Drosophila melanogaster: one gene and its partner. Changing the gene in region 1 together with any one later gene gives a genetic interaction. Each region holds a gene or a part of one and is shown on either strand. Other genes may lie near its edges.

The links.
Region 2: of NKCC (region 1) and qsm, changing one suppresses a phenotype caused by changing the other (phenotypic suppression), as found in Drosophila melanogaster (one study listed by BioGRID).

Annotation. Positions count from the first base shown.
Region 1 is NT_033777.3:5,494,797-5,507,852, reverse strand, and holds the start of NKCC (sodium potassium chloride cotransporter), read left to right. Parts: upstream 1-5,150; 5' UTR 5,151-5,556; coding exon 5,557-5,816; intron 5,817-8,838; exon of another isoform or gene 8,839-8,869; coding exon of another isoform or gene 8,870-8,910; intron 8,911-8,982; coding exon 8,983-9,076; intron 9,077-13,056.
Region 2 is NT_033778.4:20,576,009-20,588,843, forward strand, and holds the start of qsm (quasimodo), read right to left. Parts: upstream 7,584-12,835; 5' UTR 7,342-7,583; intron 6,125-7,341; exon of another isoform or gene 6,022-6,124; intron 5,644-6,021; 5' UTR 5,626-5,643; coding exon 5,553-5,625; intron 1-5,552. Other genes in the region: Nnf1a, read right to left, coding at 10,246-10,401, 10,607-10,721, 10,796-11,008, 11,065-11,165.

The DNA of each region.
Region 1 (13,056 bases):
TAACTCTTACGGACTTGAAAGGCACTATTAAATAGTTTTGTAAGTTAGTTAAAGTTTATTTTATTACTTTGATTAATAATCGTTTTAATGGATATTTAATGACCCCTGATGCCTTTACTTACATACATATATGTATATGAAGTACCCCACAATTCAGCACAATTCAGGCCATACAATCAGTATAAATATTGACTTTTAAGATGCCAGCTTGAATAATTTAGTAATCACGCCGAGTTTCATTATGGAGATGACCCTTTTTCGCAGGATTTTATTTACCTGCATTCAAGAGCGGATAAACGAACAAAGAGAATTTGGGGCAGCTTCTTCCTGGCATTTTGGAAAGTGACCGCCTTACGAAATGATAAATTGATGCCGCTCCACCAATGGAATCTTGCCTAATATCGAGCTTAATGAATAAATTATTGCAATTATCACAACTGAAATTTTGATTGCACATGACTTGCCATCCGAGATCGGATGTGTATCTAAGTATCTTTCTGTGTATCTATCATCAATTGTCGCACTTAAGGCGGCACCCGATTGCAAAAACTTGGCTCGATCGCCGGGACTCCAGACGAACTGTGGGATACAATGAGACTGGCTGGCGCAGAACAAGTTGTTACTGCCACGAAGCGGTTCGGTTCTGCCTCTTAAAATTGCCTTGCCTTGACGGAGTCGAATAAGTGGTGATGATGACCACGCTCCAGGGATCGGGAGATCGAGAGAAACCCCCAAATCGACGCCATAACTGCAGTTATGCACTACATTAAATGGGGGCTCCGAGGAGTAGTGACCGGTTAACAGCCTGGAAATACATCTGTAACAAAAAACATTTGTCGCGAATGACAGCCCTTAATTTATATTTTCGGTAGACTTGTATACCAGCTCAATTTTTGAATTGGAAGTGAGTTCACGATCATAATTTTATTCAGCTTTATTCTATCTAACCATCATATTATCATTTATATATATTTCCGTATTTTATACGGAACTGTACACTTCAGGAAAAACCAATAATTCGACTAATAATAATTTCTATGTCAGCGTGCGCTTCGTCACTACTTTAAACGCGCAATGCCGCAATAAATAGGCAATATTTAAATAAAAAAGCACATAAATTCTTTGATCCCAACTAGAATTTGGTTCAGATAAATGGTGACATTATGTAGACTGATATATGTATAATATCTAATGATCAGCACACTTAACACCGCAACACGAGTCGGTTTATCAAACCGTTAAGTTTGGCAGTGTAAGGCGATCTAAACCAATTGACGCCAAGGACAGGTATTTGAAAACCCGGTAACTTGCGATCAAATCTAGATTATTGCCGCTCTGATCGAAACTTCCTTCATTCGGTCCGAGCGAAACCTTTTCAAAGTGGTATAAAGCAGTTAATTCAATTATTAATCGAGTGTCAAATAATGTCTCTGGCCATTGCGATAGCGCATGGTCGTCTTGTCTTGTGTCTTCCCCTTAATAAGAGCCCAAGAGACGTTATCGCCTTCCGATGTAATCGGTTATATGTATGGCCCCCATTAGGTTGGAATTAATTAGCAGCGCAATATTGTTATACAACACGCTTGTCAAGTCTTAAATATTTAATTTTAGCTGTAAAACAATCAATTTATCTGTGCTTCGCGATGTGTGTTCGATCAATTAGACAGAATTCGTCCGTAGTCCAAATACAAGCGAACTGGCGAGGTGTTAATGAGTGCAGTTGAGGGTTAACCAAAGCCGCTTGTAACTGGTTAAGGGTAGATGTCACACATGACCATAGTCTAAAAGTAAATTTTCACTAAAAAATTCTGAGTATGATAGAACATATGTACAAATATACGTACGCAGTGAAGAAAGCGACAATAATAATATTTTCGTTCGAAAATTGAATTAAAAAACAAACAATAGTTACCCAAGCCATAGTTACTAAACGACGAAAAGAATTTGATGGCAATTTGCGTTTAATTGGCCCTTTTGTTTGCCAGCACAGCAATAGCGCTGCAGCAGAGTGTTTCGACTATCCAGTACCCTTTATACAAATTTTCATATCATATTTTTACCTGTTACTTATAGAGAAAAGGCATATAAATTTCTTTAAAAGCATGTCTTTCCGTCCGTCGACTGTCCGTGTAAGCGTCATGGTCTGATGAAGTAAAAAAAAAAAAAAAGAGCACACAAGTTCTAGTGACACCGCAGTATAAGTTTATTTTAAATATTCCCTAAAAGCTTTTCATTCGCACACGACTTAACACTTCCATTAAACAATTATAATCTGGGCTTATGCGATGAAATTTCACGAAATTGGTATCATGAAGAGTACTAATCCTATCTAATAGTACCTTTTTCTAGCCATCACTGAAATAAATTTTGACTGTGTCGCATAAACAGGGATATAATTTTATTTTATACATTGAAGAAATCCTCAAACCTCATGGCATAAACGAAGTTTTAGTAGAAAGTAGAAAAGTAGAAAGTTCTCTAGTTAAACATAGTTTGATAGCTATATATTAAAAAAATTTAAATTTCTTTATATTCTAGGCATTCCTTGGTGCATATGGACAAGAAAAATAGATTTGATAAATACAGCATACCCTGTTAACCTACGAGTAACGGATGTAAAAACACAAGACTAATAGCCAATTACAGTTTTATATCCGTAAATATAAACAAATAAAATCTCATTCCAGCAAGATCCCCCAAATAGAAGGAAAAGTTTACAGGATAGATTTTGAGAGATTGTTAGATAAACATCTTGCTTATATGACTGTAAAAATAAACTATGACTTTGACGATCGTGTGATTCCAAGATATTTGCCGATTAATCGGATGTTTTTAATATTTTTTTATTTGTTCCAGAATCTTCGCATACAATCAGCAGCATTTTTATGCGACAACAAGTAAAGTGCAAGCAATAAAAAGAAATTAATTTATATCATTGGCATCGGTAAACAAATTCTCTACCGCAAAGTAACATCGATACGAATAATAAACTTTTATAAACGGGGCAATCGAATTTGGAAGACGTGTGAAAAATGTATCCCAAAGGAATAAAAATCAGTTTCGCTGAAAAATATATTCAACGAATTGCGGCTGTGATGGCTGACAAAGTAATAAACAAATTTTGATAATTAGGAAATCGTAAATCACTTGCGTAATATTAGCAAAAATAAAAGTGATATCAAAGCAGCCATAAAGGGTAATCAACTAATTAGCTTGTGCTTAGCTATTGTGATGATCAAAGTGTTAGTTTATACCGTGTTAAAGTTTGAAATAATTTATTCAAAAATGTTTAACACTTTGGGGTTAACCAGTAGAATTGAAAAACAATGAGTCGCGAAATTGGGCGTATAATTTAGACGATTAGATGTTCCGAATTACCGAAACCGGCCAGCTGTAAATATGATATAATTAATATTCAATTTAATAATTTTGTTTATTATTGATATTTTGATATATTACTTTGAAAGTTCGATTGGCCATCTATCCAAAATTTGCAAAATGTCATTCATGAACCAAAGTGAAAACTCCAAGAATGAGATTTAGCACTGGAGGGAACAAAAGAACGTCGTTCCTCCGACTTTGGGGGATGGTTCGGGGGAGGGAACCTTCACTGGGTTTGGTAAAAATAACTCTTTTCGCCACGATCGGCTCTTCGTGAAATCCCCCTCGGTGACGCAGAGCAAAAAGCAAAAAGCAGTCCCACCAACCAACCAGTCAACCAGCTATCCAACCATCCAGCCAAGCAGCCGGCCAATCAAACCAGATAAAACCGAATTTAATTCGATTAAGGGGGTTATTCGCGTGCTCTTGCCCCCTTATTGTGGTTGCTGTCGGGCTTAACTTAACTTGACTTGGCTGATAGTAAAGATGTTACGAGTGTCTAAGTTTTAGTGCGCGAACGATTGTGAATGAGTGTGGAGAGTCGCGAGTATGGAATGAATTCGGTAAACAAACGAAACGAGCTAATTGCCGCAATCGCAAACGAATCGTATCCACGAACCAAGGTGCCAAGGTGCTAAACTCTTACCCGAATCAAAGCGACAAAATGGTGTTGTAGCAAGTGATAATGTTTTTATTTAGGACCACAGAAACGCAGCTCCTTCGACGCTAGTTTAGGTTCGTCTTCAGCTGTGACCCACAGAGCACATCACGTTTTATTCAACAGAAGTTAAACGAATATGAATGAGTGGGAAATATGCATATTTTAGTTTTATTTGTTAAGGCCTTTTTGCCTTTGAATAAAACGAAACAAAGATAAACAATAACAACTTTAATATTTGGGGAAAAACAAAATATATAAAATGTCAGTTTGATTGAATATCAACACACAATCATCTCTGCGTTTAAACTGTGTGGCTAAATGACAGTCATCTGAAATGGAACGATAATAATAAGATTGGATTCGCTAATCTCGTTTGCGTTGTCGACAACAAAAATGTTAATATAGAGCAAAATCTTTGATTCTACTACTTATCAAGTACGCTTATAAATTTGAAAAGTTGTTAAGGTTTGAAATATTTATGAAAAATAAATATAAAATATTTCTATAAAATTTGTTTTGTTTTTTACCCAAAATAAACAAAAAATATTCTCAGTGTAAAGTCCTTTTCCAGAACGAAAAAATGTTGTAATAATCCGATAAGTATTAGTTGGTTAAAATTTCTAAAGTTTCAAAATTTTACCATGAATATTTTGTGTAAGCTCTAAAATGAAGATTAAAATTTTAAGGAACTTTGAACAGAACGCATAGTATTTTCATATTATAAAATTCTTTACGTAAAATTAACCAATTAACTATCATAACAAAGAATTTTTCTTTCCCCTGTACTCTGCACCTCGAACTACTTTCTGTGTATGCGTTGCAACATTACGTATACGCCCGCTAGACCCTCTAAAGAGCGGGTATCCCGCCGTCGGACCTCCTGGCCAACGGTTCTTTCCCGAATCGCGCTGCTTTCCTCGTCGCTCCGCACAGAGAGCGCTCTTGTGGTGAGTTCGCCCCGAACACTTGTTGGAAACTCACCACGCGGGCGCCAAGTTGGTTCGAACTGAAGCAGCCGCTGCCAAATCCACAGCACAGCGGAAGCAGAGGAGCAGCTGACTGGCGCAAAAAGCCATAATAATCGGGCGGTAAACACTTGACAACGCTCAAACGCCGTGCGACAGTCGGCGCGATAAGTTGCAATTGCCCAGCCGCCACGGAGAAATCATCGGAGTGTTTCCCGTGAGATTCAGAAACATATATAAAAACGAACCCGAATTCAAATCCGAAACCGAACCCGAAACACCCAAAACAAGCCGACGTGGTCGATGCGTTCTGAATATCCGGACAATCGTCGTTGAGGGTCAAGCGCAGTCGGACGTGTAAACTCGGTCCTTCGATTCGCGCTCCTTGTGATATCATCCACTCCCAGTGGGGCGCTCTCATCCTGCCAAGTGTGTGAAATGCAAATGTGCTCGGCTCGTTAGCTAGCGTCAAGGTGCCCGTGCAATCGATAAGAATCTGTGTCCAGGGTCCACTGAGCAACCAAGTGCAGGACTCCCCAGAGCCACACCATGGCCGATCGCTTCCAGATCTCAAAGGTGAACGGCACCGCGAACGCCGGCTACGATGGCGAGGCTAGATCAGCTGAATCCGACCAGACGGACGCAGCCCACCCACTTCCGCCCACCAGCAACGAAAACCACCTGCATCCCAAGGCTTCGGGGGAGACGGGCGAGAACCGCCGCAGCTCCCGGCTCTCCTTCCGCGGATTCGGTAACTTCCTGCGCAAATCGGACGCCGAGCGCAAGTTTAGTCTCGCCCAGCTAACAAAGTAAGTTTAATTTGAATTTAACGCATTCCCGGCTAAAATGCGAGCGATTTGCTTTAAAAATGTGTCGGCACAGGTGGAAAAACCGGAACGTCGTTTCTAATCAATGGTATTTTGTTGTTAATTGAAGTTATCGGAAAATATATATATATATATATTCTTCGGTTGGACTCTCGTCGTTAATAATATTGTTTTTGAATTTGAATATTGATATTATCAACGATTTATCCAGTTAGGATTTTTCGCTAAAGGAATGGAAACCCTATGTCATAGTATGCAATGGTTTTACAACTATTCATATTTTGGGGAATTTTGTAGCTCAATTAATTTGTATTTCACATTATATTTTACTTACAGGTTCTCATCTTCGTGTTTTTACCTAAAATAATAATAGAACTTGAATTAAAAAAACATTTTTACGCTTTGATCTTATAGTCGACATCTGATGGAAGTTTTGTTTAAGATGTAAATTAAGAGAAAATATAAAAGACACAATCTCTTCTGTTTTCTCAGCGGTTAGCGTGTTGAAAATAAATTTTCATTTTCAACATCCGATTTTACAAGTTGTTGGATTTTTGATAATTGCTTCGATTGAGGGGATTTACTCTCAAGATAAAAGTGTTGCGATTCAGCTGATACCTTTTAGGAGCTTGAGATACATTATTTCCATCCATTAGTGCGCACGTGGTGTCTACACTCGCGTCTGAAACAATTTAGGAATAATACAACAATTAATTAGAGTTTTCCCAAAGCAAATTAATCATTAATTTTACTCTCCGTAATGAGTTTCAATTGAGGTGCGAACACATGTTTAAACTCAGTCTGTTTGCAGTGCACAATAAATAAATGCCATTGTACTGGGCCTTAAAACAGACAATAAAACACGTCAAAATTGTGTGATATGTGAATGAAAAGCGAAACGAAAACATTCCGTTTGCATAACCGAAACGAAGGTTACATTATGCCAATTTATTGTAATCACGTTTGGCACATAAACCCAAAATAATGACAGAACGAAAGGCTCAACAAGAGCAACATTGTCCGAAGTTGGATGCACTTAATGTCCGATTGATGCACTCCACTTTCACTTGGTTCAATCTCAGTTTATACTAGTATATATAAATACATGATTGTAGAATATTAGGGTAGGTTCACCTAATATGTTTCACTTGCTATTAAAAGCTAATTGTGTGATTAAATAGGAATGGCAAATATAAATACCCGTTTGAAAACATACAGTTCATGTGAATGATTTCAAGTACATGACGAACATTCCGACATGAAGCACTTTCAAAAAAAGGTCACAGATCACTTCCAAATTAACTTGCTTCTGGATTAATTCGAATTTTTTCCACTTCTGATTATTCAAATTTGCCACATGACAGTTGGCTGTTGGCCCAAATTAACGATTTCGACCCAGACCCCGTCGAAAGCCCCCGAATTAATTGCTGCAATTGTTCCACTTTCGATAATACGCAATCTCGTGCTCAAATTAAATGCAATAAAAAGCTGCCAAAGATCTGTCCGAAAATTGGGAGACCTCCGGATTAAGAATGACAGCCAATGATTTGTTTTCCCGGAAAATTTGCACACGGCAAGCAAGTTACATCATCAGCCCGCCAAAAAATAATATAATAACTTATCTAAATTCTGAGCACGTCGGGTATATTAGCCGTTTTTGGCACAAGGATCGCCATCGGAGCTAGCGATCACTTGCATTCCGCGAGTTCCGGAGCTCGCAGCTCAGATGGCTTTCTCCAAAAGGATGAGCGTGTCAACAAATAAATTTACGACTGTCGTTCGGAGAGTGCGATCGCAAATGAGTTCAATTGATCGAACTCTGCCCGGCTCCAATTGTGTTGAACTAACTCGGACCAGCTGATTCCCAACGAAACCGGCCAGCAATCAATGCCCCTCGATGGCCTGGACTGGACCCCCATATACGTCATGAACGAGCATCTAGAGAATATTTACATGCTATAGTACATAAACATAGTCGTGAGGAATGTATGTGTATCTTAGCCGAATGTATCTGTATCTCCGTCGTCTGGCAAATGAATTGGAAGTGAAAATGGAAATGGAATCGAAGGAAAAGCCACAAGACGTCCGATTCTCTTTGCTGAATGCTTGCAATTTATTTAGTAGCACAATGAAAAACGCCCTCCACAGATTCTGTCTACAATTAATAAACACTCATAAGTTATTCACAAGCCGAGCGGCGATCTAAAAGCAATGGGGATCGAATACATAGAATAAGAAAGTGAGGATTACACTTTATTGTAATTTATCAGAGGTGCTAGTGTATCTCTAGAGAATATTCAGACTTTCCATCTTAATCAGGATTTTCAAGGCATCAAGACGTCTTGATGAACTGGGTTAGTGGGTAATCAGCAAATTTACCGATTACAATATGTCACTTCAAACAGAGGCATTATTCTAGATAAAATGAAGTGTACCATGGTCTTTTCAACAGTAAGCCCACATATTTCAGTGCACTTTCCTCGTGAAAATTTTAATTGCAATATTTTTGGAATTAGTCAGAGTAATGAGTAAGGCGATCGTTTCGTTGAACGCCATACTTTTAGTTTCAATGGACTGTCATTCATGCACCATGCACCATGCCCCGTGCACCGTGCGTCTTACCCCTTTGGATTCATTGGAATCGACGCCTCTGGACGCTCGTGGCGCCGCACTGTGCTCGTCGATTATTGCCTTCCTCATTCTGTTTTTCCTTTTTAAGATTTTAAATTATATTTTGGCATTGCTTTGGCTTTAGCTGCTGGTAATGTTGTTGCTTTTGCTTCTGTTTTCGTTGGCGATCAGTAAATATACATCAGGGCAGACTCTCTCTTCCCGAACAGAAGAATTTTCCGATAAAACTTGATTTTTCTCGATTTCGGCGCGGAGCCCCTGACCTTCTGCCCGGCTACCTTTACCACTCGGCTGGCCGATTTTATTGTCTTATTATTAATGCGTACACACAGAAATAACTTGCTTCTTACACTTGGAATCCGCCGGAGTGGGTATTTCTGCTCGGAACGCTGCAGGCGACGGTCATGCTGCCCGAGGCGGTGATAGTGCTGCTTCCGTTCCACCAGTAGGGATACTAGCCTTGGCACTAGAAAGTGACTTGCTCTAATCGGATACCTTCTCTTCCATTTGATTGCAGGGAGAGTCTGCCGCGCCTGGACAACTACCGCATTTCCATGCGCAACCTCAAGCGTCCTTCTATCGGCGAACTTCAAGGAGAGGCGGTCGACCAGGTGAGTTCTGAAGCCCCCCAATCGGAGTCCATGACGTAAGCGGGTCCGAGTGCCCAGCAGTTTGCATAATCAGTGAACGGCAAACGGGGATTGTACAGTGGATTTACATAGCATTCAAATATAGTGCACATAAAATGGGTACAGAATCAAATCAAACGGCTAACGTGCAGTGAAATGAGCTCAAGTTATTTAAAACTATGAGTTCGATAAAACGAACGTGATACTATCAGATACCATATTACAACTTTTAGTTTTAGTGCTTCATCCTTATCGGCTAGCCGTTTGATGGCCTAGTGACGCTGAACATTCGACCTTGCCCAACAATCGGACATCCAAGCGGCATGGAACGCACTTTAAGTGGTCGAAAGGTCATAAATGATGCCATAAGTTGGCTGTCGGGATTAGTGATAGGCCAAAGTGGCGTCCGTAATCGTGGAGTATCTCAATCTGCTACACAGTGTCATACTCGGGGATCTGCTTTCTGTTCGCCATGGCATAATCCTTGCAGCGCACTTCAGTCGTAGTCTACTCAGTTCTGAAAACATTTCAAGTACCCGGCAAATAAACAAACCACAGCAAAAATACCTTGGCTAGCATGAAGCGAACCAGAACCAAAACAAAAAATATGGATCCAGCCAGAAATCGAAACGTTTTCTGCTCGTACTTTGGCCTACAAAAGCCCCAATAATATGCCCATCTACATATATGCGTGCACAATATTTCTATATCTGAATATCTGAAATTCATTAATACGTTGCCTGATTTATTTACTTGAGCAATTCTCACATTTCCGAGGTGCAAATTGCGAGTTTTCCATGACGTCTTCCGGGCATCCCAGCCATTGATGTATTGTGCCAACAGATTTGGGCGCTGCTATCGCGATGACTTTGTGGCCACTCTAGATAAGCTGGCAGCACACATCTCCCGAGGCCGCCCACTTTCTCAAGCAGACCTTCCCACCTTCAACCACCTACCACACACCCCACATACCACCTACAGCCCTCAGTCCATCTTGGCTTATCGCTTAGGTGGAATTAAAGGGGCGGAGGAGACCTATGAGTATAATCGCTTCCAGTGTTACGCTCTTTATGTTTATCGCCGGAGTAATAAACTTGATGCGTCTCCCCAATACAGTTTCTGTATTGTTCAATTAATTCACTTCGCGTGGCCAGCAGGGCGTATGCCAGATATCGCCGAAAATGCATTACAAGAGAGATACGGCTGATTAGGGGAATTCGAATTACAAGATAGCAATTCTCATCTAAAGGGTTTTGCTAAAATCATCTAAATAATTCACAAAAATTATGTTGGCTCTATGTTTGGTTTTCATGAATATACGAAAGTATTATTCTCAAAACTGGTTTTGCTTCAAATAAAAGACTACCAGACTCATGAAATAGTTCCCACTTCGATATAAACAGACTAAATTCAACGTCTTTAAATTACAATCCCTGCCGAAGAATAATAATAATAGTACATAATGTTATACGAGTTTACAGGAGAATTCAAGGAGATCAGAACCTCGAAGAAAATTTGTTTTTTTTTTTTGCCTTTCCTCAACTTTTCTCCGCGGGAATAGAGAAAATCAACACGAGCGCGCTTTATTCGATTCCTAAGTGGATTTTTCTGTATCCATCCATGGCTTATAATGCGCAAGGCGATATCGATAACAGCGCTAAAGCCAAATTAATTGTCAACAAGATGCAGCCATGCATCTGGCATGGGCCACAGTTTCAAGGAGCGGGGAGCAGGACCCGCGGAACCTTCCAAGCGTGAGTAAACAGCTCATCATGTGGCGTCTATCGTCAACACCATAACATATGTGTCGCAGGATGGATGGGGATGTGGATGAGCAGAGGGTGGCGATAGTGCAGAACAAGTGTGTCGTGTCATTAAGATTGACAGTCGCGGCATGCAGATGTGGCTGTTGCCATCGACGTCCCTTTCTTGTCATAGGGAGGGTGGCCGGGGGATCGAATCCCCTCCAGAACGGTCGGTTGCACAAGTGCGCGAGTCTTGAACCTGTCAAAAGTGCTGACAAGACGTCATTTTGATAAACGTCGGCCAAGCCATGGATTATTCCTCACTTTCAATCAATTAAGCTGACAGAACACACCCACTCAATATTAATCGGACACCCAAAAACCATTTCCAGTTCTTGGCAGTTTTAAAATCGAACCTCTCAAAAAAAAAGTAATTTGTCAAACCAAATGGCACTATCGAGCTATGCCATCGAAGTCTTTCGACGTTCAACACGGCGTATGAGCGATGTTTGCATCATCAAGTCGATTTTCCCATTTTAGATAACTTTTGTATTGCACTTGTGATTGCACTTCTAATTTACAATTCGTAACCAAAGAGCCGGCTGCTATATTTGGTGCTCAGAAGATCAAATCTTCTCCAGAAACGCCTGGTGCACAAGTGTGGCAGTCTTGAGCCTGTCAAAAGTGCTGACAAGATGTCATTTTGATAAGCGCCGGCTAAGCGATAGATTATTCCTCACTTTTAATCAATTAAGATCAAAATTAATTGGACAGCCAAAAACCATTTCCAGTTCTTGGCAGTTCTGAAATCAATCGTAAAAAAAAAATAATTTATAAAACCGAGTGGCACTATCGAGCTATAGCATCAGTATGAGCGATTTTTGCATCATCAAGCGGCTGCCTGTGGCGCATTTACCTTTTTAGATTCCTTTTGTATTGCACTTGTAATTACAATTCTAATTTATAATTCGTAGCCAAAGAGCTGGCTGCTATTTTTGTAACATTTATTGATTTCCTAATGAGCAAGTCTTGCTGCAAAATCTTTGTTTACCGCATTGCCATTGCCGCGAACAAGCCATTAAGTAATCGGCGCATATAACAATATGTTTACCCCATTTGTGTTGCATTTCTGATACTTATCCGCTATTGTTCAAACGCGGCGAGGGGCACAAAACTGTTGGAAAATCTCTCCTCTCAATGAGGAAAATGCCATTTTCTCAAATTTATTGAATAACTCATTTGGCCTTATCGATTTTATGCGCATTTGCTGAAATTGTGCCTAAATTTCTGTTCGCTCTAAATCAGTAAAAATATCCAGCGGTCTAAGGATTTGTTTAGAAACTTAAGGATGCCAATCTGCTCCTCGTAACCAGTCGCCCTTATTGGCTAGAGACTTTGCTTTATCGAGGCTAATAATAATTTTCTGCCGACTGAGTTCACATCCATCTATTTATGAACTTGAAAACTTACTCTTTGGCCAACGCATCCTCCTTGTTTCCGACCCATATCCATCACTTTGTCTTCCTTTGTCTATTACTATGCTCAAATCAGTGGCACGAGGCATCCGAGAAAGTGGATCCAAGTTCCAATTCCAATACCAATTTCGGGTGCGAAAATTTTCCACGCACATCGACCATAATAACAAAGACAACTCGAATGGGGAAAAACAACCGCAGAGCCAAATGCGTATTACGCTAAATGAAATGAAATGAAATGAAATGGGCAGAAATGGACAGTAAGGAAGCGCCAGAGAATGTAACTAGTGAGACCACAAATACCCCTTGGTCCTCCGCTTTGGAAGCCAGTGAGTGGGCAGAGACACTGGGGGAATATATTTCGCTGTTTGTAATCATAATAATTATAGCCAAATACTGGTTTTCTTTCTAAAGTACTTGATTGTGTATGTGTGAGAAGTATCTTATTGATATATTTACAATTAAATGAGTGAGTAAATAACTTTAAAGTTTTTTATTGAAGTGTACAAATGTTTATGATTGCGTCTGACTGAGCTGGCGTTCGCTCGAAACCGCCAAAAATGTGTAAGCAATCAACATTAACCACCTACCGCGGCAGCCTAACTAACCAGCATTGCGTATACGCAGCGTGTGCGACCTGAGCTGTCTGGGGGTTGTGTGCTCTCCCGAATCGATGTCGTCCTGCCCAACCCTGCCTCCTGCTCCTGCTCCTCCTCATCCACCGCCACCACCACATGCCACG
Region 2 (12,835 bases), on another chromosome or scaffold:
TTCATTCTAGCCATGTTTTCTCCTTTCAGCCATATTAATTTCCATGTGGAGCTGATCCTGTTCTGGCGCTTCTCAAGATGCGGCTCCGTTAGACCGGCCTGTCGGCTGCGTTTGAAACGCTCTCTACGCAGTTTTGCAGTTTGCATTTTGCATTTCGCATTCGGTAATTAAAAACCCAACGAGCCGCTTGGTGACTCCAACTTGGCTCTAACGGTAAGCGGGCTGCCCACCAGGATTAGCTACAGGTTTGCTTTCTTTGCAGTCCCCCAATCGCCTATCACTACTACTACAACTACTATCACCACCAGCACCAGTACTGCTCCGGATTTTGCCCCCCGGGCAGCTAAAAATTTACATAATATTTGCTCTAGATTCCATCTTGTCCCCCCGGGCGGCTTTCACACGCATAAACCACAAGTGAGGCCGAGATCGGAGGCATCTGCTCCATCTGCTGGCGGCTTATCAGGCCTCATAAATATGTTTGGCCATGCCTTTGGGCCTGAGACGCTTGACAATTTCTGCAAAAGCGTCTCTGTCTCCGTTTTTTTTTCAACTTTTTTGCGCACTTTTTGGTGAGAAATGGGAGCGGAAATTAATGACCGGAGTGCTGGAATCTTTGGCATGCCACTGTTGGCTGTGGCATCAGGTGCTTTTGCTCTGGAGCGTTTTGCGAAAGTGGTTGGCAGATTGAAGAGCGGCCAAAAGATAAGTAGTTGATCGGAGATCTCATGTCGAAAGTGGCTATTTTTATATTGGCCGAGACCTGTTTCGCAAAAGTTATAACGCACGGCATACCCAGTGTCAATGAATTAAAACTTTATTACCTAGACGCGAAAATATCAATTTGATGAGCGGATAAACAGATAAAAAACTTGTTGCTAATACAAACGATAGTCGTTCGTTCATTAAAAATAATAATTATTCAGACACGGACATAAATGCGTCAGTACATTAGGTAATCAACTTTGATGGCAAAGCTGGCTCCCAACTTTGTATTGTAGTAATGGTAAGTAACCATTAAAATTTAAATGCTTGATTGGATTGAAATAAAAAAAAAACGAATGTGTATATAAATATGCATGAGAAAAGACCATTGGAAATGAGTTTAAGGCAAGTCAAATTAAATGAGCTCAACACAATTTAATTTTAATTTTAGATATACAGAACCTTACGCTTTATAGGTTCGTAAAATTCCCGAGTTAAACTGTCTATTTGTTGGCGCTTTATTTAATTTTAGTATGCGAAGCAGACGTTAAAATGCCAGAAAGTGTGTTTGGCACTGTGAATCGTCGATACAGTTCTCGTATATATATGTATGTAGTATTGAACCTCGCTTTGGAGTGCCTTGATTTCAGTCACATGCCGCAGGCCTTTGTCTAGAGTTCCCATAAAATTATTCAGTTTCGCCTTCTTAGCAGTCATGTCCACATGCAAAACATGCAAATTTGCAGCAGTTGCAGTTGTTTCGCTCGGTTTTATGTGGCCATAGCCACTGCTGCTGCAGTTGCTGCATCTTGGCCTAATACAATTAGTCTTGTGTAATACGCATGCCTTATGTGCTGCGAGCGGTTAGCCGGAGGAGTGCCGAACCCGTTAGTGGTCGAGTACATATACAGTTATCGGTTGCACCATACCAATACCATACCGCCGCCGCCTCCCCTTCTCCACTTTACGCAATTCGCGCCACACGCCACACACATGTGTTGCGGAGTCGCCACCGATTGGATATATTGCCTTTGGGGAGCGTTGCGCGAATTGATTGTGGCCAAAACGGTGGCCGAAACGGCAGCAAAAGTTGAAAGCCTTTTAGGCCGACTCCCTCCAGCAGTTGGATTTTGTCAGATTTTGCGTTACTGCTGTTGCCACATGTTGCCAAAATGGTCAGTGCATAACGGTGCACTGCAACAACCAACTAAGCTAATTAATGCCAAAAACAACAGAAACTACAAAAACAAACAAAAAACAGAAAAGCCTCAATCCTGAAACAATCCCAAGCCCAATCCCAATCCCCCAGCCAATGCAAGTGAAGTTGTCTTTGTCTCATCGCCCCGACAATCCGATTATTATTCAATAAAATGCGCCGGCGAACAAAGAGATGGCCAGCACTTGATGACAAATGCCTGGGCGGCCTGGTCTGCTATCCAAAAACAAAAACAGAAACAAGAACAGCAACAAAGTAAAGAATAAAGGGCGCTCCGCGTACTTGTTGGCCAGGCCAACTAACCAACTTCAATGGGCTGCTCCCAGTTTGATCCTGGACTCTTGGCGGAGCCCTTAAAGCGAGCCGCCTCTATTCGATTTGCTCGTTTTGTTATCGCCAGCTTTTAATCTGCCCATTGCCGCGAAGGTCTTACCCAGATCCTCTGCTTCATCTTGGCCACGTTTGCCCCACAGTTTAGGCCGGGTTCGGGTTTTTTCTTTTCTTTCTTTTCCAACTAAGCCGAAACAGGCAATGCATGGAGGCATTGTTTCAAAGCCGACGACCTTAACCCCTCGTAACCTTGCTGGAATTTGCTATTAAGTAAGCGAATTGCTCACAAGTGTTGTAATTGAGTTGGTCAAAAGTGCAACATAAGTTTAGAAGTGTAGTAGATGTAGTGATGATAAATGTGGTAATAGTGAAGAAGATTAATAATCTCTTGAAGTTTCATTATTGATTTTGTTTGGATCCAAGACTTGCCTCCTAAAAACTGCTGACCTCTTTGGTCAACTTCACTATTTGATCGCCATAGATCATTAATCTTTATATAGAGCTTCCCATTTAAAGCCAGCCGGATTAGATAAACTTGTGGTCGAAATTTCACTGGGTCAACAGGCACACTGGGTGCCATTAATGGGTTAAAGAGTGTTCGGTGTGGCTGAGGGACAGGACAGGTTGGTGGGACTCAGACTCAGACTTAGATTCAGATTGCGGTTCAGGTTCAGGAGCATCAATGTAGCAGACACGAGTCTACAGCCGAAGCATCGAGGCTCGATTTTATTAGCTTAGCAAAAGGCTTTGATTGTTCTTGTTCTTGCCAATGCACTGCTGCTGTTATGGCCTGTTGCGCTTGTCTAGACGGGCAATTTTTCACACACACACAGTTGTTGTTGGCCGGGCCAAGACACACAGCACACCGCACTCAAGACACAAGACGCTGGAGCACAAGACACAGACATTGGGGAGCTGGACTTGCTCTAAAATTGGCATTTTTCGCACACATAAGGCAAAAATGTAAAGCGAAGTCAAGTCAGGAGACCGGGCCAAAGCCACATCTTCGGCCAAAGTCGAAGACCAAGTCGAAGCGGTTTATTTGCCTTGTGTGGCATCAGCTTCATCATCATCATCAGCAACGTGGTCGTCGTGGTCATCCAATGGACTCCAGCCTTAACTCTCCGTGCCCGTGCGCCCGCTGGCATAATGTGGCGCAGCCTGGACATGGTCATCCATAGACATGGAGTCCCGACTCTTAGCTCTTTGGCAATTTCTTTATTATTACGAGCGTTTCTGTGGTTGTCCTTTTAGGCCGGCTGTCACAGATCCGCTGATCATTATTGTTCCTCCGCACAGTACACATACTGGACTCCTCCGCCTGCCCACAATGCAATGTCAATGTTTTGTCTTAATGCGACAATGCTCGATCGAATGGCTGGCTGTCTGTCCTGTCTCGCATGTTATTTAAATGGCAAAGGCGGGTTTGGGGGACCTGCAGCCTGCCGGGTAAACAATTTATTATATTTATATGGCCAGTTCATATGTTCGTTCTGGCCATAAATTAAGCGATCTTCGACTTAATGTGTCGGCTGCACAAGGTCGCGTGTGCTTTTTTATTGTATATACCCCTAATCCAGTCAGGCAGTCAGCAATTAAGCGAGTTAATCGCAGTTCGATGATTTGTCAGCTACCCCATAGAGGGTGGTATATGATGATTGGAGGATGACTGCCCGGTTGGCTAATCGCCGGGAAGGTCAGTACCTCGGTTTCATCAGTATGTGCACTCGAGTGCGAAGTTCTCCACTCCAGTGATGACATCATTCGGTGGCAGTTGCTCGAAACTATAGAGGTCAAGAAAATCATGTGAGATCAAGCAAATATCTGTAATCACTTCTGACTGAATCCATCTATCTTTTTTGTGAAGCCCAGACTGCATCACACCAAGTATCTTAGATATTTTAAATATGAATATAAATTAATATTCTTTTAGTATTTATATATTAAATAAACCACTTTCAATGAATACCACTAATTGCTTACTATTGTTGCTAACAATTCAAATCTCAGCTCAAAAAAGACAATGGAACACACTATGTATTTTTTTTTTTGGGTCTGAGTCAGACTTTTACTTTCCCTAGTGCAGACAAACAAAAGTTTCGCTTTAGTTAAGACAGCCACGCCCACTCAGCAGCGCCCACTAAAACCGCTTACCCCTTATCATCCAGCGCCACTGCTGTGCAAGTTGGCAAGTTATAATTTAGCTTTCAGCTTTGGCTGCCGAAGAACGCTGAGGAGCTGAAACTCGGACTCTCGGTCTCGCTTGGTTTGTCCGTAAATTACAGCCTCGTCTGCACCGTTTCTATATATGTACATATATATATATTTATTTGTTTGTTTGTAGCCCGCGAGAGAGATGTTTTCGTATCGGCCTTATGTATTTTTAGGCTGCATCTTAATTCCCGGGACCAGTTCGCCTACACAAGTCGTCGATTGTCGCCCGTTTTGGCTGTATTTCGCCTTTAATTCTTCATTTTTTCTCGCGTAATATTTTTTTGCAGTTAATTCTCCTTTCTGATTGCCTTTTAATAAGACAACCCCAGCCGATTCTTGACCAGTTGAGTGTGGGCTTTATTATGAGTACTGCCCCTTTTTTTCGCTTTGTTTAAGTATTTTTCTCGTCGATATTATCTTGTTGGCTGGACTGTGCTTTGTTTTTTATTTCTTTGTAATATCTTATTTTTTTTTGTTTTGGCGTGTCATGTTGCCTTCCCAGCACTTGTGTTTGTGTAGGTGTCTTGTTTGGTCTTTTGTTTTTTCGCCGCGCTCGCTTGATAGTTTGTTTAGTCGTTTGTTGTCTTGGCTGTTAAAGGCAACTTGCAGGGGCAGGCAAGTTAATGACTAATGTGTTAGGGCTTTCGAGGGATATATGCCTTATACAATTTAGCATTAATATATGGCAGGAAGCGTAAGAACGAGTGAGTGAATCATGACAGGGCCGCGCTGCCAAACTTCATTAAGTCGCCGCAAGTTCGTTGCCTCAGTCATTCGTTTTTTTACCAAAAAAAAAGCTCCAGCACGCCCCCGACAAAACCGAAGATCGTTTTATTCGACCATCACTCCAAATGGCCACAAATTGTGTGTGTATGTGCACTTCACGACCAAAAACGAGGTCACTTTGTCGGTTTTTCAACAAAATCGAAAAGAAAAAATAAATACTTATTGTGTTTCATTACGCGAATGACATCATGGCAGCGCTATGGGAGCTTCTCAAGCTTTTTAGCCTTGCACTCCCCGATCTTAACTCTGATATTTATATTTAAATTTTTGCGTATAGTATATAGATAGAAAAAGTGCTTACCTTTGGCCTGGGCTAATCCGCAGAATAGGGCCGCCAGCCACAGAGAGCGCCACATTTGCATTGAGAGCAGCATTTTCCAAAATTTCCGGATCTAATTGGTCGGGGTAGAAACGGAAAGACAAACGGCATATTATTACAAGCATTTCGAACGAACCGAAGCCGAAGCAACGGCACATGCTCCACAAGCGGGCCAACATTTTATTTGTTATTTGTATTCTTGGCCTGGCCTTTTTGACGTTTTCACAGACACAATTCATATATGTAGGTACCATAACATATATATGTACCGCATCGCAAACACACACAGCGAGTTATTATGAAACAAAGCCAGAAGAGAATGCCCGTCAAGTGGCTTGCGGCGACCGCTCAACAAATCAAAAACCAATGACAACGGCAAATAAAAAACGAAACGAGCCGCGAACCACACACATATCACACAAATTCACACAAAACTCGGAGCGGGTCTTACTTGACGGCTGCAATATGGGGAAAACTCGGAACTCGAGACTCGAAACCACACCGAAGAGCACACCACACGTCCAAGCTGTTCGCTAGTCGCCAGGCAACTGAGGCTCAGCTCGGCTGCAACTTCATTACCTCGGGAATCGAGAGCCGGCGTATAGAGATGCTGACTCAGTTTCAGAGCAGAAGTCGTTCTTATATGGCAGAGAGTGCAAAACTATAGTGAAAGCACTCAATGTTAACCAATTGGTTAATTACCCAAAAGAAATGTAATAAGTACGTATGTATATAAGAAGATAAGTGTGCCGTTTTATCCGAATTATTGCAACATAAATCTATATGCATTTTTATTATATTATGCTTTCATTGGTAAAAAAAAAAATCCTTAGAAAATATTTTAAGAATTTTGAATAAGATAGTGTTGAATAATTATTTAACAAACGGAGTTTTCAAAAGTTAGCTATAAACTAGCTAGTGAACCAACGCTCTTAGGCATTAGAGCGTGGACAGTGGGGAAAAATGCTAAGGCGCCATCTAGCCCCTGGCTGTTCACAGTGCATAAATAAAGCCGGCAATTACGAAAGTGCTACATTACAATTTATGGATATACTTGAATACATTTAGATAAGCAGAGCACAATTAAAATGACCCACTGTAAGTCGCTCTCTCGCACGGAGCATCTCTGTCGCACGGCGAAAAAGAGAGCGACTTTAGCAAGTTAGCTTAACCGAGAGGCTGTAAAATACGGTAAAAGGATCGCTCTCACTACCGCTCTTTTCCGCTCTCTGCCGGAGATAACAATCAGCCGGTAAGTTTGTATAATTTTTTTTTTTGTCCCATGACAAAAACTGAGAAATTGTGGGAGCAAAATCTTACAAGCAATTATGCAATCTCGTCTCCGGCTTTTTTGTTGCGTTTGCTGTTGTTGTTTTTGTTGCACTCGCTATTGTTGTCAAAACAAACATTTATGTAATTGCGCTCGCTGTCAGCACGAACTGCCGGTTCGTTCTCAACGGCCACAGATGAGAACAGGGAAGTAATAGTTTAAAATGAGCTAAATGCAGCAGCTGTTATGGATATTTTCCCTATATATTTCGCTATATGTACTAACGGTACACTTACACTTCCGCCAAAACTAAAACCGTTCTTCAGCTGGTCATCTACTGCATTTTCCAGAGCCCAAGGCGCAGCCCGTGAACCCAATTTCACACCTCTTGATTTCGCGCGTGCTTGGGCATTATTCATGATTCTCCTACTTGTTAGTTTTCCAAACCAATGGCCATCCCATCATTAAACGGATTAGAAACATTTATTTGTGCATACTTACTGGCCATACACTACTGGCCCTCTTGAAAAACGGTAAATGACGTGCAAAATAAAGGCAACCAGCCGAGCGCACTAATTTAATTTGCTAAATTCAACTCAAAATGCCTTATTATTACTTTGTTGCACCAGTTGTACGGGAATATTTAGCTCAAGCATCGGCCAATATTAAGTTAAGCACAAATTGTAATAATTAAACACTTGCCACTTGCAAAAGAAATTAACCAAGTTCCCCGTTCCTCTTTGCACACAATTTGCCGATCTGGCAAGTCTGTGACGAAGCGAAAGAGGAATGGGGAAGAACCGCAACAGCTGTCATCTCGCTCACACCTAACGGATTGCGGATTTCCGAGAAAAGCGCAACTGGATTTTTATAATTTTACGATTTCACAGATTTAAATGTTGAAACATTGGACATTTAAAGGCCGGGAAGTGTGCAATATAGCTAAGATATAAATACACTGACACACGACCCGCCCTGCAAATGTTTATGTTTTCGCAAACACTTTTTTTTCACTTTTCGATGTTAATTCTTGATATTTTCAGGCCGGTGAATGTGCAATATATTCGACAAATGAAATATTAACCCATATACCGTCCGAAAAATGATCTAGAAATTTCGATTTTTCACCGTCTTGCCGCCTATTGCAAGGAGTTTAAAAACACAACAAAACTAATTACTTTGCTCATAAAATGATTCGTTTTAAAGTAATCAGGCCGTCTCAAGTGCAATACTAGTTAAAAAATGCAGAATTGCCCTTGTGACGAACCAAATCGCTTCAAACTTAATTCACATTTCTAATAATTTAAAAATGCTAATTGTTAGTATAAGGCAGTTGCTAACATTTTCGGGCTGTGAAAAGTGCAATACTCAATGTTAAAAAAACAGTACTGCCCCCATCCGCAGCAGAAAATTGTTGGCTAGAACGATGTCGGGTAATACGTTTCAAACGACCACTCGCGACGACTCTCGGAATTTGAATGCCGGGGGCAAAGAACGCAAAGAAGATCCCGAAAAGGAAAAATCACAAAACGGGACACAATGGAATGCAGAGGTTTAGAGCGGGATGACAGTATGAACTTCGAACTCTCAAAACATCCAAAGTTTTTGCTCTACTCTACAACTTTCGGGAGAGAGAATATTCAAAATGGCGGCAACGCGAGGAAATCGAAGGAATTCGCGAGATACACATTTTTTTTTAACACTTAAATATGTATGTACATATTTTAATGAATCGTTAGCTTAGCTCGTGAACTTTTATAATAGCAAACAGAATACCATATTTTTTTGCCCTTCGATTTACTATTTTGAGTTGATGAGTGATGAAATATCACATTTTTGTGTTTTTTTTTTCAATCTGTGCACTTTGGTGTAAGTTTTCTGAAAATAAGTAAGACGGGAATGCCAGTTTTGTAAAAAACACAAAAATAAGCATAACAGCCTTTACTATTTTAAGGAGATTATGGCAAATGTGAAAAAAATATCACATTTTGAATTTGTACACTTCGGTGTTAGTTTTCTAAAAATAGGTAAAAGACGGTTATGCCAATTTTGTAAAACAAACAAAAACAAGCATAAATATCACATTTTGTCTTTTCTAAAAATAATTAAAATTGGGTTTTCTAATTTTTTAAAACACTCAAATATAAGCATAACAGACTTTTTCCTATTTTGAGATTATGGCAAATTTGCTTAAATATCACATATTTGTCTTTTTTTTTTTGATTCCGTACACTTAGGTGTTAGTTTTCTAAAAATATATTAAGTATGTTACACAGATTTTGTAAAACACCTAAAATATGCAAAACGGACCTAAATAATTTTAGAAAAAACCAAGTTGAGTGGCGATTTCTAATGCAAAACCAAAACTTTCCAAACTACAACTTTAATAGGACGTTAAAATATGTATTAATAGGTGTAGTTGGGAAAAGCCTGAAACTGCAGTGATAGTTTTGATATCCTACGCAGGTAACTTTCTCGAAGTACTTAGTACCAGAAACGTGTACTTTACATAAACATAAAAAATAACACTTTGCTGATACCAGGCACTTGGGAAAATCATGTCTAGATTTGTCAACATTTTAAATGGCTTACCAAGAGATGTAAGCTCCTTCTCCGTCGACGGTCAAATCGAAAAGAACGGACTGCTGAATTCCATTGAACTCGAAATCTTTGTGACAGTGCTAGAAGATGACCTTTGAAATCAAGTGGGAATGGGCCGCACTCAAACTCACATATGCAATAAGTGTGTTTCTTTGTGTGTGCGAAAGCGCTCAATTTCAATAATACACACATCACATAACCTCACTTTAAAGAGTCAATGTCCTTATTGCCTTAAAATATAACTGAAAATCTGTATAATGAGTGCAGTCTCACAAGGGAAATTAAAACGAATCTTTTAAAAAACATCTTTAAATGTATATTATTAGTTACTTTTTGAGGAAGATCTAGCAAAAATTCGGTTCTTTTTTACACTAATACCATTCCTTTGATTTATACTACGCAATCAAGTATGTATGTATGGGAGTGTGTAAGCACACAGCGATTCTAAGAAATCACTCAAAAAACACATGCATACATACATAAGTTTACACATGTTTAGCTAAAAACTTCGTACTATTTATCGTATTCTTTATAGAGATAACTTGAAATGTATGTATATACATTCAATTTTAAAAGATTTTTTGTCGCCAATACAAACAATTGCTCGTTAATATTATGAGCTTATTGCAATGATACGAATTTAAATAAATTGTGAATGTCAATGACAAATGCATGTGTACATACATATGTATGTACATTAATGAATATGCAGATTAGTTTGTATGAATTTCCATTTTAAGACCCCCCACTCAAATCATTAAGCTCATAGCGTAGTATTTTATTTATTTATTGCATTTAAGTTTGTCAGAAGTCGTTCAATGCTTCGCCTAGTTTAATAAGTTCTGTCTTAACTTTCTCGTACTGCGACAATTGCTGCTCCATTTGGACAGTCAATTTCAGGCGCTTGTCATGGACATGTTGGAGTCGCTCGCGATTGGCATTGCTCTTGGCCATAGCAATCTGTAATTGAAATATAAACAAATGTTAGTTATACTGATAGAATAACAAACCTAGATATGTACATATGTATATGCAAATGATAAACTATAGAAATGAAATTATTAAACTAAAAATCTTCTCGAAGGTTCTTTAACTTTAGGGATCTTTTGGTACACTCAAAACAGTGCAGTAATAGTACAAAGATTAACTAATATCCAAATCGCACCTCAAGTTCTTTTGCCTGAGAGGCCAGTTGCTGCTCCATGAATTCCACGCTGAAGTCCAAAAATCGCATGCGCAGCGGCCGAGTGAGTTTATCGGGTGCTGCAGTGTTCACGTTCCTATAGATTACAATAGAGTAGAGTAGAGTTAGCAATGCAATCGAATCGTATTATGTTTTATGCTGCACATGTACCATTTCTTGCCCTCGTAGGCAGCGAAATGTTCCTTGAGCATTTCCAAAGTTTGCAACTTATTTGGCACATCGTTGCTGGCGAAAAAGCATCGGTTCATTTCGAGCACAACCTTGGTCATCAGACTGCGAGTGCGATCTACGATGCTTTCGGTGTCCAGAGCGGATTGCTCGTGCTCCTGGTAAATGGCATCCCACGCTTGCAGATCTGCGCAGCTAGATATTAACGATTTTTAATATTCGTTATCATGTTAACTATGCCTGCTGCTTACCTCAAGTCGGCAAAGATTTGTTTAATGGCTTCCTCGTAGGCCTGTTTCACCTTTGGTCCCACACCCTCGTGGCGTTTAAATGCGGCTTCCGAATCCTCCATTGAAATAATTTGTTAGTAAATTCAAATTGTAAACAAAACAAAACAATGCCACATTGGTGTGACCAGTTGCAAGTTTCTGCAAAACACCAGGCCGATAGAAATTATAGAGTATGGTGACAACCCTGTTATTGGTTTTTTTTTGAGGTATTTCCACTAGCTCTTATTACTCATAAGTCCCTTGTAACATAAGTGATGTTGAAAATATAAATATATTTCATTCAGCGGTATGGTGAGAATATGTGCCTTTTACATTACAATGTCAAACAAAATGAATAAATACCACCGAACAGTATTTTTAAGAATAAGTGTTAAACCACCGTTTTCAACCATCATATATCGATAGTCCAGGTATCGATGACAGGGTGATACGCCATTTTCCAATTCCTCTCTAACTTTTGTGCATTTTAACTCAGCTCTAGTGTGTTTGTGCTATACATATTTTGAATAATATTTTACCAGCCAGTGTTTAGTGGCGGACAAAATCGTGTTGAATACCAATTGAAAGTTAAGTGATTAAGTTCGGTGGCATCAAAGTCTTCGTAGCTGAAGGAAAACAAAGGCATCCCGATAGGTGAGTTTTTCTTCTACAGTTTTTTTTTATCTTTTGCCTGGGGAAACGCGAATGAAAAGCGAATTTGCGAGGCAAATAAACCAGGCTAAAAGCAATGTGTGTGTGTGTTGTGTGGTCTTGTGTTTTCCTGAATACATTTCTAAGAAAAAGATTCGCCAATACATGCCGATTTTTTATAGCAATATAGTGTGATTTTTAACTACACCCCCAAAATCGTTCTTTTGGCTTCGGCGCTTGAGTTTTACAGTTTTTCTTCCTTTCATTTTATTACAACCACCAGGGCACACAGAAATATTCCTAGCTCTCTCTCGCTCTGCCGCCCTGTTCTCTCTGCCTCTCTCGCTTGCTCGCACGCATGCCGGCTTTTACTTAAAGTACAGAGTCGCATAGTTGTTGTTTTTATAATTGGCCCATCGCTTTAGTCGCTTGTTTTGTTTTTCACATTTGCTGTTTTTTCTTTTCTTTTCGTTTCGTTGCTTCCCTTTTTCTTTTATCTCCACGCGGTTACACCGGTGCATAAATTTCATTATAATTCGCTGAGATAAAATCAAAACAAAATAGTTTCGTTGTTCCGAAAGCAAAACTCCCACGCTACAAGACGAGTTCAACGCTCGTTGGCTTTTTACAAATAAGGAAAAGGCCTAACCTATATTTTATTCATAGTTTTTAGCATCAATCGATGAGGTACGTAGAAAACGGAGAGGCAGAGGAAATGGCGAAGAGAGGCTAATGAGAGAGAAAAATACAAATGGAAGCTAACTGTTGTTGTTTCGCTTGTTGGTTGGGTGCAGCTTATTACCACCTACTTGCCTCCCCCCTCTCTTCATTGCTCCTCTTCTTTTCTCTTTGCCCCCCTCCCCCTCATTAACCCATTGGCATTTGCAGCTTTTTAACAACAGCTCTCTTCTTCTTCCGTCTGCAAATCTTCTCAGCAATTCTGCAACTTTTGCTTTTCGTTCTTTGGCGATTGTGACGAATCTCCTTTGTCTCTGTTTAGATTTCCAGTTTTGCGAAAAAATTCGCTTTTATTTGCCTTTTTTGGCCGAGGTATTTTTCGTTTGTTTCTAGCGTTTATTTCGAGTGAAGCAATTCCAAAGAT